Nothobranchius furzeri: one gene and its partners. The protein of the gene in region 1 binds, or shares a complex with, the protein of each later gene. Links are inferred from orthologs where the notes say so. Each region holds a gene or a part of one and is shown in the gene's direction. Other genes may lie near its edges.

Region 1 (4,075 bases):
GTATTGACCACTATATGTTTTATCTTTGTTATTGTACAATTAATATTCTGAGACCCCAAAAATAAGTTGACATACAGACTAAACTATTTGTTTACCTATAATCTCATGCAGGATTAAAAGCCGTCAATCAAAAAAACTCCAAATGCTTCAAACTGAGACTCAGTTCTTGTGACTTCCTGTAAAAGTTCAGTAAAATCCTAAATCTGCTGTGGTGTGGGACGGATTAACATGCATTTAAGCATTTCTCAACATTGCATAATTAATAATTCAGATTTGTGTCATTTTGGTCCTAAATGTAGATTTTACCATACACACACCCCTTATATCTTAATGGGTTTGGGGAAAAGGTCTAGAAAATCTGTCAACTTTCATCTGGACACACATTGAATCAGTTTGTTTGGGACACATTTTGAGTGTTGTAGTTCATGGGGCGAGTAGGAACAGACCAACTCTCATTCAGAATAGTTCAAACTTTCCAAACGTCTTTACTGGAGACACAACGTGATGGAATCAAGGACCCTTGTAAATGCAGTCGCTCAGGAGGTAGAGCTGGTCCAGTAATCGGAAGGTCGCAGGTTCGATCTCGGCTCTGACCAGAGAAGGCTGCTGTCCAATCCTTGAGCAAGACACTTAACCCGCCTTGCCTGCTGGTGATGGTCGGAGGGACTGGTGGTACCAGTGATCAGCAGCCTCGCCTCTGTCAGTGTAGCCCAGATCAGCTGTGGCTACATCGTAGCTCATCACCAACCGCGTGTGAATGGGTAAATGACTGATTGTGTTGTAAAGCACCTTGGGGAGCTGTAAAACCCTAAGAAGGCGCTATACAAAGACAAGCCATTTACCATCTAAATGGCTTGTTCTTGATATAACGCCTTCGAGAGTTCTACAACCCCCCAAGGTGCTTTACAACACAATCAGTCATTCACACCCTGTTGGTGATGAGCTACGATGTAGCCACAGCTGATCTGGGCCACACTGACAGAGGCGAGGCTGCTGATCACTGGTACCACCGGTCCCTCCGACCACCACCAACAGGCAAGGCGGGTTATGTGTCTTGCCCTAGGACACAATGACAGACCGACAGGGCTCGAACCTGCAACCCTCGAGTTTTGGGGTGGCCCCTTGTGAACGTTCTGATGTGTCTGTTTACACCCATGTGAGTGTTGCTCAGGATTTGTTGTCAGTCCGAGCCCAGCTTCGGTTCTGACTCATGTTCTAGTTCTCAGAAATATCCTGATGCATCTCTGCTTCTTTCTCTATTTTTCACAGATGACTCAACAGTGGCTTGGACATCTGTGATTTGATAGACGATGAAGCGTGCTCTGTTTGGCAGACCTGCTTGTTACCATAGCAATGTAAACCACACCAACATGGAGAACAAACTATAGTGAATCCTAATTTTTGCTTCCTTCTTTTTTACCCATGAAACCCACTAAAATCCCCTCATCCATCACATATTAACTGGTTTTGAATGGATTTCAGCTGAAAACGGTGCTCAACATGTCACTGGGTGTTCAGTCTCAGAAATGGTTTCCTACCCATGTCCAAGCCACTGTTCTTCAAGCCACTGGTTTACAGTCCAAAGGCAAAAATGGCACCAATGACGCCTACACCATCATCCAACTGGGCAAAGAAAAGTACTCCACGTCGGTGGCGGAGAAGACGATCAACCCCGTCTGGAAAGAGGAGGCCTCGTTTGAGTTACCTGGTCTTCTTTTAGAGGGAAACCCCGAAGTCTACGAGCTCTGCCTTACAGTCATGCATCGGTCCTTAGTGGGGATGGACAAGTTCCTGGGTCAAAAGTTCATCAACCTCAATGAAATATTTGTTAATAAGGAGAGAAAGAAAACAGAGTAAGTATATTTATGCACTAAACGTGTAAATGAAAAGCCATGAATACAAGTTTATGACTCTATTGCATTAATGTACTCATTCAGATTCATTTATTTGTTCTTTATGATTGTCAAACGTGTCAAAAAGAATCACTTCCCAAGTAGGGATGGGTACCTTTGACATTTGAATCGATCCGGTACTAATTCCCGGTACCTACGAGTTGATACCGGTACTTAACGGTACCAATTTTCGATACTTTTGAGTGTTTATTATTTTAATTCTCTTTTATAATTAAATATATATTTTTCTCAATATATAACAATATTTGATAAATATGACGATAAATATCATACAAGTTTGTATTTTAACATCGTCCTTGTAGTTTTATAAGCTGATAATTAAACTGAAGCAAACATCTTTACTGTGAACTAAATTTACTGTGTATCTTCATTCCTTTTGCCGTCCTTTTTCATTTGATTTTTCCTACTGGGAAGTTAGAATTTCCGAGGAGAAAGCGAACGCACCATTAGCTGATAACAATGGTAGCAATGGAAGCTAACATATCAAGCTAACGTTATCTTTAACAGTTTATTTAGCTGCTGGAGCAGATTAAAACGATGATGCCTCAAACTTAGATCGTTGTCACTGGTTTCATCTTCACCCAATCACCCGTCGCATTTAGTAAAGTAAAGCCAAACTTTAGAGCGCGTTCATGTTCTTCTAGTCGGAAATTCGGAGTTCCGAGGAGAAAGCGAACGCACCATTAGCGAAACGGAAGCTAACAAATCAAGGTAACGTTATCTTAAACATTTTATTTACCTACCGGAGCAGATTAAGATGAGGATGTCTCACTTAGATCGTTGTCGCTGGTTTCATCATCACCCAGTTACCCATCACATTTAGTGAAGTGGACCCAAGCTTTAGCGTGCGTTCTTTCTACCATGCTGCTCTGTTTACAACGGGCTCGCAGGGACCGGCGACATAACGCTCTTGCGCATGCGCGGCTGTCTTGGCAAGTTCTCGTTGTGATGGACGGGTACCGAAACGAGGCACCGTTTGAAATGACGTGAATCGGTGTTCGGTCGGTACTATGGAATTTGGTCGGTACCTTAAAAAGTACCGAATTCGGTACTCACCCCTACTCCCAAGTATTTCTGAGATGCAATTCCCAAAAATAAGCCAGAAGTTCAAAGAAATCTGCTGTTAGATATTTACATAGTATGAAGTTTCTGCAATGCATTAAATTATCATAGGGATGGGTACCTTTGACATTTGAATCGATCTGGTACTATTTCCCGGTACCTACGAATCGATACCGGTACTTAACGGTACCAATTTTCGATACTTTTGAGTGTTTATTATTTTAATTCTCTTTTATAATTAAATATATATTTTTCTCAATATATAACAATATTTGATATATATCATGATAAATAACATACAACTGTATTTTAACATCGTCCTTGTAGTTTTATAAGCTGATAATTAAACTGAAGCAAACATCTTTACTGTGAACTAAATTTACTGTGTATCTTCATTCCTTTTGCCGTTTTGATTTCTCCTACTGGGAAGTTAGAATTTCCGAGGAGAAAGTGAACGCTCCATTAGCTGATAACAATGGTAGCTATGGAAGCTAACATATCAACCTAACGTTATCTTAAACAGTTTATTTAGCTGCTGGAGCAGATTAAAACGATGATGCCTCACACTTAAATTGTTGTCACTGGTTTCATCTTCACCCAATCACCCGTCGCATTTAGTAAAGTGAAGCCAAACTTTAGAGCGCGTTCATGTTCTTCTAGTCGGGAATTCGGAGTTCCGAGGAGAAAGCGAACGCACCATTAGCGAAACGGAAGGTAACATATCAAGCTAACATTATCTAAAACATTTTATTTACCTACCAGAGCAGATTAAGATGAGGATGTCTCACTTAGATCGTTGTCTGTCGGTGGTTTCATCATCACCCAGTTACCCATCACATTTGGTGAAGTGGACCCAAGCTTTAGCGTGCGTTCACTGACCTAAAACATGTCGTTGACTCGTTGGTTCCGCCGATAACGGCAGATTCAGACCACCAGTTGATTTGTTAAGGTGAGGGCAACTGTATAAATGACTCGGCTTGTTTTGTTCTTAAGACATAATCAAAGTGCAAACAGGAAGATGTTTAACATGAAGTAGTGATTTTCAAAATAAGTTTATGTTCTGCCATAGTTCAGATTTTTTTTCAGATCTAAGTCCCAGA
Region 2 (4,269 bases), on another chromosome or scaffold:
TTATCTATCTATATATACTTTTATTCCAAACACCTAATATATTGACGTGGGCAAAATGACATCGATAACAGACGTACATTTTGGAGTTGTTACATTTTTGGTGTACTGCCTACCTCTAGTGTCGACCTGCTTTACGGCTATACTGTGCCGATAGGCTAACGGTTAGCTTTGTCAGTAAAACTGTTGGTAAAAATCACAAGAAGAAGAAGAAGAAGAGGTTTAGTTTTTTGTCAGCATCATGGCGGAGCCTGGAAGTAAAAGGAAGAGAGTAATGTCTTTGGAGGCGAAGTGAAGAAAGTTCAGACCAGACAAAGAGCTAGAACTAGAGCTAACATCAACACGGCCTACGCTGTTTCAGTTTCTAACCCTCTAAAAAAGTAGGAAGCAAAGTTATCTGCAAAGCCAGAGCGAGCAACAGCGCCGTTGTTTATGACGACCAACCATTTGGGAGCAGAACCGGGAAAATTGTTGCTTTAAAGAAAATCTTCAGTGAACGTCTGAGTCGAGACGACTTCAGGAGACAAAACCGGATGGAAGTTTGTTTCACACGTACAGAGAGTCATGGCTGACATGTTGAATGAGATACGTTCACCCATCCGTCTCCGAACCCCTCACTCACTCACTCACTCACTCACTCACTCACTCACTCACTCACAGGGCGTCCAGCAGGGGGACAACCTGGACAGGTCTCCAGTCCATCACAGGGTCACCCACTCACACCTAGGGACACCAGTCAACGTAGGAGGAAACTCAACTGCTCAGAAATTCCACCCATGCGGGATTCGAACCAGCAACCTTACGACAATCCTGCTGCACCACCCTGCATCCTCCTCTTCATGGGCTTAATTTAAAACTCTGTAAGTGGCCCTTTATTAACGCTACCGTTACAGTTATTAAAACTTTATTAATGCTTTATAAGTAACGTTAATAAAGGGACGGTTATTGTAACGTGTCACTAAAACTCGGATGAGAAGGTGATGGGAGATCCTTCAGATTAATGCTTTTTCGTGGCTTTAATTCACCAAACGTCACCTTTAGGTGTGTAATTTGTAAATAATCGACACAAAGACATATTTTCAGGAGTTCCCTTCTTTAAAGGTTTGATTTATTGTAAACAAACTGTCAAACTATTTAAAAAGACAAATTTAATTTCTTTTAATGTTTCATTTTTTTGAAGGTAGCAGAAGAGAAAACAGTAAATTCAGTCGAACCACAAGAACAAAAAACACCAGTTTAAATCAAAACGATTCTCCACAGCCAGATTCTGAGACGAAACCGTGACCTGTTCTGTCGCTCGGATCCTCCAGCTGCTGGGTGAGGACGATTGTTAAACAAATTAGGCTGAGAGGGTGGAGTCTCTCCCTGAGAGTGGTTTAACCTGTTCCACCTGCTCACCTTCCCTCGGCCCTCCTTCGGGCGTCAGCTGATGGACAATCAGGAATCCTGCTGCGTCTTTTGTCCTCAGCAGCGACTTGAATCCAGAGTAAAAGGGAAGAGGATCCTTACTGAAGGCGGTGAGGTCGTCCTGGACTTGTTTTAATAGTCCTCCACATTTTGAAAGTGGCTCCAGGATATCCAGGGACCCATCGGCACTGACTGCAGCATGGGGTCGGATGAGTCGTACAACTTTGTCTTTAAAGGTGAGTCACGTTCACTTCAGCTGTGATTGTTTAAGCTAGAGCTCGAGTTTGTTTCTTCCTGATCTCTTGAGGTGCAGCTAGTTGCTCTAATTTCTAAGAAAGAGCCCGAGCAGGGCAATAAGGAAGTGACTACTTCCTGTCTCTTTGGTTGTATTGCTTTCTGACCTTTGACCTGTCACGGGAGCACAAGTCCTTACTTTTCCTGCTTAATTAAAGCTGTAAAATTTAGTGTTTGATGTCTCAAACCTGCAGTGATTCTTCATTTCTCTCATTTCCAAAGTTGAGTCAGCCTCTGTGTCTGCCATGTTGGTGTGATGTCATAGGATGTGCGTTTAGTGTGGCAGAAATATCTGATTCATCAGTTTGTCCCAGAAAACGAGTTCACTCACGATCTGGTCTGGTCTGCTTCTCTCTAGTGGTTCTGATCGGGGAGTCGGGCGTAGGGAAGAGCAACCTTCTGTCCCGCTTCACCAAGAATGATTTCACCCACGATAGCCGCACCACCATCGGCGTGGAGTTCAGCACCCGTACCGTTCAGCTAGACCAGTTCACCATCAAGGCCCAGATCTGGGACACAGCTGGGCTGGAGCGCTATAGGGCCATCACCTCAGCGTGGGCACACACTCATACATACACTTGTATTTATATACTTGTGTGGACCAGTCATTGAATTCCATTTATTTTAGTGACTCCACTCTACTTAACCCTAACCTCAACTAAAAGTTAATACACACCACGCCTCCAGAACCAAGTATTAGGGTGTTTTCCTCATTGGTTCCAAACATTTTCACACGTTACAGGTTAAAAGTCTAAATTAGTTCTCACAATGCATTGAAGACATTCTTCTGTCAGGTGAAAGGCTTTGACCTTTTGACTAGCATACCGCACAAAAAAAAAGCTCATTCAGAAATGTATGAGCCCTGGAGGTAACAGGAAAAAAATGTTTTTGGGTCCTCATTTGGTTTTAGCTTTGTTTGAGAGATCCCGACTTTGTTAGTGAGATCTCGGCTTTGTTTTGCGAGATCCCAGCTTTGTTTAGTGAGATCCCGACTTTGTTTGTGAGATCCCATTTGTTTTGCTGAGATCCCGACTTTGCTAGTGAGATCCCAACTTTGTTAGCAAGATCCCGACTTTGTTAGCAAGATCCCAAATTTGTTAGCGAGATCCCGACTTTGTTTAGTGAGATCCCAACTTTGTTTTGTGAGATCCCAACTTTGTTTAGCGAGATCCCGACTTTGTTTTGCTGAGATCCCGACTTTGTTTTGCTGAGATCTCGACTTTGTTTTGCTGAGATCCCGACTTTGTTTTGCTGAGATCCCGACTTTGCTAGCGAGATCCCGACTTTGTTAGCGAGATCCCGACTTTGTTAGTGAGATCCCGACTTTGTTAGCGAGATCCCGACTTTGTTTTGCTGAGATCCCGACTTTGTTTTGTGAGATCCCGACTTTGTTTTGTGAGTTACCAACTTTGTTTTGCTGAGATCCCGACTTTGCTAGCGAGATCCCGACTTTGTTTAGCGAGATCCAGATTTTGTTTAGCGAGATCCCGACTTTGTTTAGCGAGATCCAGATTTTGTTTAGCGAGATCCCAACTTTGTTTAGTGAGATCCCGACTTTGTTTAGCGAGATCCCGGCTTTGTTTAGTGAGATCCCGACTTTGTTAGTGAGATCCCGACTTTGTTTAGTGAGATCCCGACTTTGTTTAGCAAGATCCCGACTTTGTTTAGCAAGATCCCGACTTTGTTTAGTGAGATCCCAAGATCATTAACAAAGGAAGTGTGTGTGTGTGCGTGTGTGTGTGTGTGTGTGTGTGTGTCACAATATCTGTGATCACTTCTGTTGATCTGAGAGAAGCAGAACTTCTTAAGAGAAAATTGAAGATAATCTTGAGATCTCACAAAAAAATTTTTTTCTTCTTCTCTAACTTCCCCAGGGCTCAGTACTTAGTAATAAAATTATTTTTATAATTATTAATTAACCCATGTTGTCCATATTGAATTAAAAAAAGTTGTTATTTTATTGTATTGTATTGTTTTTATTAGAGGCATCTAAAACAGCGTAACGAATTACACAAGTTACCTTATTTATTGTTCTCAGGTATACACATGGGGCGTTCCTGCCCTTTCACAGCGACCATGTAAGGATTGATTGTTCCTCTCAGTAGAAGATCCAACCCATGATTGTGTCATCTCTCACCTGGTGTGTTCAGGTATTACAGAGGAGCGGTTGGTGCGCTGCTGGTCTATGACATCAGCAAGCACCTGACCTATGAAAGCGTTGAGCGATGGCTGAAGGAGCTGTACGACCACGCAGACCCTCACATCGTGGTGATGCTGGTGGGAAATAAGGTGGACCTGGAGAGCCTCAGGACTGTTCCCACAGAGGAGGCCAAAGACTTTGCAGGTTCATCAACTGTTGTTCAACCATTAGATCATTTTTAAATATCAGCGGTAATTAATTCTCAAACTCTTCCTCGATTCAGACAAGAAAGGGCTCATGTTCATGGAGACTTCCGCGTTGAACGCCACCAACGTCGAGGCAGCTTTCAATGATGTTCTGAAAGGTAAGAGACTTTTGCTTTGGTGCACGCTCACTGAAGGCGTGAGACAGAGTCGTGAAACGTTTGTTTT
Region 3 (4,027 bases), on another chromosome or scaffold:
AAGCACCTGGGGCAAAAATGTAAGATGCAACGTCATGTGCTGGTTTTTATTACAGAGAGTAAATAAATAATCTGACGTTTTTTTTTAAATAATTTTGTCTCTACAGAACATAAAATGGAGGAACTTCTTAAAGAAATAAATATATCTTGTGGAGTTTCTCAAGTTCGGGGCTTCCTCCTGACGTCAGGAGACTTCATTCAGAATCTCTAAGAGATGAAAATAAAAACAGGCCTCCTGGAGTGAGATTCATACCTGCATGATCAATTATGGGGTGAAAAGAGGGGGATACTGACCACCACAAATTACAGCAGGCCCAGAAAATCCTCCCTGTTATCTTATAGCAGGGGTGGTCCCGATAGCCAGCATGATTTAGTTGTTTCCCTGCTTCAACACACCTGGTTGTAATCAGCAGGTGATTAACAGGCTTTTACGGAGCCTGAGGAGCTTCTGAACAGGTGATTCAACCACTGAATTATGTAGAGTATAGAGGAACAACGAAAACATGGATACCGCCCTTTGGAGACCAGGATTGAGAACCAATGTCTTAGAAGATTAAACTCTTGTGGATCAAATGACATTATCCTACATGTTCACATGTATAGGCTATGCTGGGCTACTATAGTGAGCTTAATATCTGTATTGTTTATTTTGGGACTGAAGGACATGGGACACTAGCCCCAGAAGCCCTTCAACCCCTCCATCCTAGAAGTGTTGAGATTTAGTTATGCAAAATGGTAAATGGCCTGTGGCGCCTTCTAGGATTCTAAAACCCCCCAAGGCACTTTACAACGAACCAGCCATTCACCCATGCACACACACATTCACATGCTGGTGATGGTGAGCTACAATGTAGCCACAGCTGCCCTGCTACAGCGAGATGTGCAGGTCACTTTAACTAACTGAAGAGATAAACACTCAGGTTAGCATCATTTTTATACTTTATTCATAGCCTAATTATACTGTTATTAATGAATGTATTGATGCCTAAAAATAAATAACTTTTAAGTTTGAAATCACTTTATTTATTTGACACTTGGTGAGCATACAGTATTCTACATTTAATGAAAAAATAATGTATTTATGAGTTTTAAGGCCTCCAAATTAATGTCTTCCTCAATATGCGCGTTCCCGTAACAATGCATGCAAATGTCTCGGCTGGCATTTTCGGTACACACACCTCCAGGTTGCGCTCCGTCCTGTGGCCGCTGGGGGGCAGAGTATCCGCTGCATTCCGCTGTCAGGATTCCAGCGAAGAAGAAACTATCTCCCATCTAATTCCCGTCGGACAGTAAAATCTCGTCTTTTCTGTTTTAACAAAATCATTTTTGGACCCGCTCTCCAGTGTTGGGACGATGGGCACCAGAGATGATGAATACGACTATTTATTCAAAGGTAAAGCGGTGTTTGTTGTTATTTGGCAGGCTAGGCGGTGGAGCTAACGGAACCGCCGTCAGCCTTTTGTGTTCGGGTCTCAACAAACTTCTCTGACGTGAGTCAGCGCGTTGAATCGGTTTTCCGAACTCCCGACGAACCATGTCTGACTCGTTCGGGTAGGAAATTGTTCATCCGGTGCTTGTTGTTCGTGCTAAAGCGCATCTTGGTTCGGGATAGCGGTTAGCTCGGGTTAGCCTGCCGACAGCCAGCGGGACACACCTAGACCTAACATGATCAGATCCTCCTGATGCGATCCGGACCGATCTGCCAGCAGCACCGTTAACGGGCCCGAGACGACGTTTAACAGCAAATTCAGAGCCCGAGGCAGAACCGGGCTGGTCCAGCTGAGGTGAAACTGGACGAAAAACTCTTAACTGCTTTATTGATCAGGTTATTAATATCAGATTATTGATCAGGTTGTTCATCTGTGGGTTATTTATATTCCACTCTCACGTGAGCTTCCGGTTTCGTATTCTCACATTTCTTCCACTAACCTCCTGTTTTCCCGAGAGTTTTAACTTCATTTATCAGTTTATAAAAACACCAAATCCTGAAAGGAGCAGAATCACCAAAGAGAACATAAAATAATCAAGTATCATTAAAATAACTCCTGAATAAGAAGTAAAACGGTTGTATTTGTCTTTTTCAACCCCCCCCCCAAGCGATTTATTTTAGTGCATCTTAGTTAAAATTGAAATATTCTGCTTAAAACTGTCAATGTTGTCAGGTAAAAACTCTGCACTGCATTCAAATTTAAATCTGCCATCGCTATTGGCTGAGAAGTACACTATGATGTCAGCTGGTACATTATGAGATCACAATGTTGTTGGCCTTGTTCGAGTTGAGCAGCGCCTCGCTTGGAAAACAGATGAAAGCAGACGGATGCAGCAGGGGGAGTGGCTGAAAGCCGGCGTTTAATGCCTGATTCATGCTCCTCCATCTGCGTCAGTGCTGAGACACGCAACGTCAGAGAGCTCCGCGAGGACGGACGGAGTCGAGCTCTCTTTTCTAAACATCCGTCAGTCGAGACGGAGAACGCAAGCTTGTGATTGGTCAGGACGCCGCTGTTGTCTACAGCGCCGCCATTGCGCCCTCAAAAACATAAAGAGAGCCGAGGATAACTAGTGGCAGACACGGAGCAGCTTGAAGAATACCTCGCGAAAAAACTCTAAAATATGAATGTTTAATTCCCCAGTGACAGGAGGAGTGAAAAGATGCGCAGCAAGCGTTTTATTAGTGGATGGAAATGACAGGAAACGTGGGTTTAGAGGTGGCGAGCGCATGAAGAGGTGGAGGAGAATGAGAGACAAATTTGTCTGTTAAAAAGTCTCTTATATACAAAAAAACATAATATAAACACACCATCTTGGACCGGATGCATGACAGGATACCACAGAACAGCCTACGTCCTCTGTTGTCCTGCTGGGGAATTGCTTTGCAACACTCTCCAGGAGACGGAGAAGTATGAGAGCAAAACGCTTCCGTCAATCCGTGCGTGTCTGTCCTTTGCGGAGCTGACGGAGAAGCATGAACCAGGCTTAAGATGATCAAATTTCCCTACATGTAGCTCGCAGGTGATGATGGATAAAGATATCACATTCATTCATACTTGTTTAATTTGTAATTAAAGTTCTGGTGCTTGTTAGCAACTGAAACACATCCTGACAATATCATGTAATGTTGACATGTGCATATGAAGTAATAATAAGTAAAGGTTAGCAGCTGTAGAGTTTTAGTGTGCTCATAGGAAATGTGACAATAAAAACACAAATCACATTTCTCTTTATGGCCTATATAGTTGTCATCTTAGATCAGGTGAGAGCGAGGCGTTTCCTGTCACGCCCTAGGTTTTGCAACCGGCGGAGAGCAACTGCAGCGCCTTGCTCCAAAATCTGCGGCCGCCTTGATCTCACGAGGTTATCGTTGCCTACGTAGGCATGACATCAGAGCAAGTCGGCGTCAAGTCAGACACAAATCTAACCAGCATGCACTGCGCGCCGATCACCGGTGATCGAATCTGCGCAGAACTGGATCATCTTGAACACGGCCAATGTGAGCCTGTGTGTGTGTGTGTTAGCGGCTCTGCCCTTTCGGTCTGCCAGGCAGCAGCATTTTTTAAACAGGAAATGGGAGTGGAGTGAGACTCTGGTAGGGGTGACTTGCTCTTTAACATGGCACCTGTCAGTGGACGGGGCCAAGGGGGTGGGACTCCTAACATCCTGATAAAACGATCCCGCTCCTATGTATTTTAGACCAGATTTTTATGGTTATATGTTACAAAGCAACAACTGGGAATTATTTCATTCATTTTCAACAACATTTTGATGGATATTTCCTGAAATTTATGGTAAAAACTTCAAATTGTCTCTTTAAAAAATATTGAGTAAAAAACGCCCAGAGACAAATAAAAAAATATAAATAAATTACGGGTGCACCAATTGCAGTTTTTGGCTGATCACTGTTCACCAATCTTGAAAAAAATAAAAACAGACTTGCTGATACTGATTTTTGTCTCAACTAAAAGCAGATTATGTCAATGTTTCAATTTCCTTTTATTGTGAAAACCAACATGAATACTCATGAAACAATACCA

The links. Proteins that work in one complex are often made in the same cells at the same time.
Region 2: the proteins of rab11 family-interacting protein 2 (region 1) and ras-related protein Rab-25 are in contact, whole or in part, in a crystal structure (PDB 3TSO), measured with the Homo sapiens proteins. The link is inferred for Nothobranchius furzeri from reciprocal best matches to the Homo sapiens genes RAB11FIP2 and RAB25. Residues at the interface, in NP_055719.1 of Homo sapiens: Arg475, Glu478, Ile481, Asp482, Asn483, Leu485, Val486, Met489, Pro493, Ser494, Leu496, Arg497, Val498, Pro499; in NP_065120.2 of Homo sapiens: Arg34, Ile45, Gly46, Val47, Glu48, Phe49, Ser50, Thr51, Lys62, Trp66, Arg73, Arg75, Ala76, Ile77, Ala80, Tyr81.
Region 3: the proteins of rab11 family-interacting protein 2 (region 1) and rab11a are in contact, whole or in part, in a crystal structure (PDB 2GZD), measured with the Homo sapiens proteins. The link is inferred for Nothobranchius furzeri from reciprocal best matches to the Homo sapiens genes RAB11FIP2 and RAB11A. Residues at the interface, in NP_055719.1 of Homo sapiens: Glu478, Ile481, Asp482, Asn483, Leu485, Val486, Met489, Glu490, Pro493, Ser494, Leu496, Arg497, Val498; in NP_004654.1 of Homo sapiens: Arg33, Ile44, Gly45, Val46, Glu47, Phe48, Ala49, Thr50, Lys61, Trp65, Arg72, Arg74, Ala75, Ile76, Ala79, Tyr80, Arg82.

Annotation. Positions count from the first base shown.
Region 1 is NC_091752.1:6,563,732-6,567,806, forward strand, and holds the start of rab11 family-interacting protein 2, read left to right. Parts: upstream 1-1,275; 5' UTR 1,276-1,500; coding exon 1,501-1,853; intron 1,854-4,075. UniProt on the Homo sapiens protein: A Rab11 effector binding preferentially phosphatidylinositol 3,4,5-trisphosphate (PtdInsP3) and phosphatidic acid (PA) and acting in the regulation of the transport of vesicles from the endosomal recycling compartment (ERC) to the plasma membrane.
Region 2 is NC_091759.1:20,370,609-20,374,877, reverse strand, and holds the start of ras-related protein Rab-25, read left to right. Parts: upstream 1-1,469; 5' UTR 1,470-1,603; coding exon 1,604-1,640; intron 1,641-2,056; coding exon 2,057-2,252; intron 2,253-3,848; coding exon 3,849-4,042; intron 4,043-4,121; coding exon 4,122-4,202; intron 4,203-4,269. UniProt on the Homo sapiens protein: The small GTPases Rab are key regulators of intracellular membrane trafficking, from the formation of transport vesicles to their fusion with membranes.
Region 3 is NC_091749.1:66,767,987-66,772,013, reverse strand, and holds the start of rab11a (ras-related protein Rab-11A), read left to right. Parts: upstream 1-1,227; 5' UTR 1,228-1,352; coding exon 1,353-1,392; intron 1,393-4,027. Other genes in the region: SH2 domain-containing protein 7, read left to right, coding at 1-70. UniProt on the Homo sapiens protein: The small GTPases Rab are key regulators of intracellular membrane trafficking, from the formation of transport vesicles to their fusion with membranes.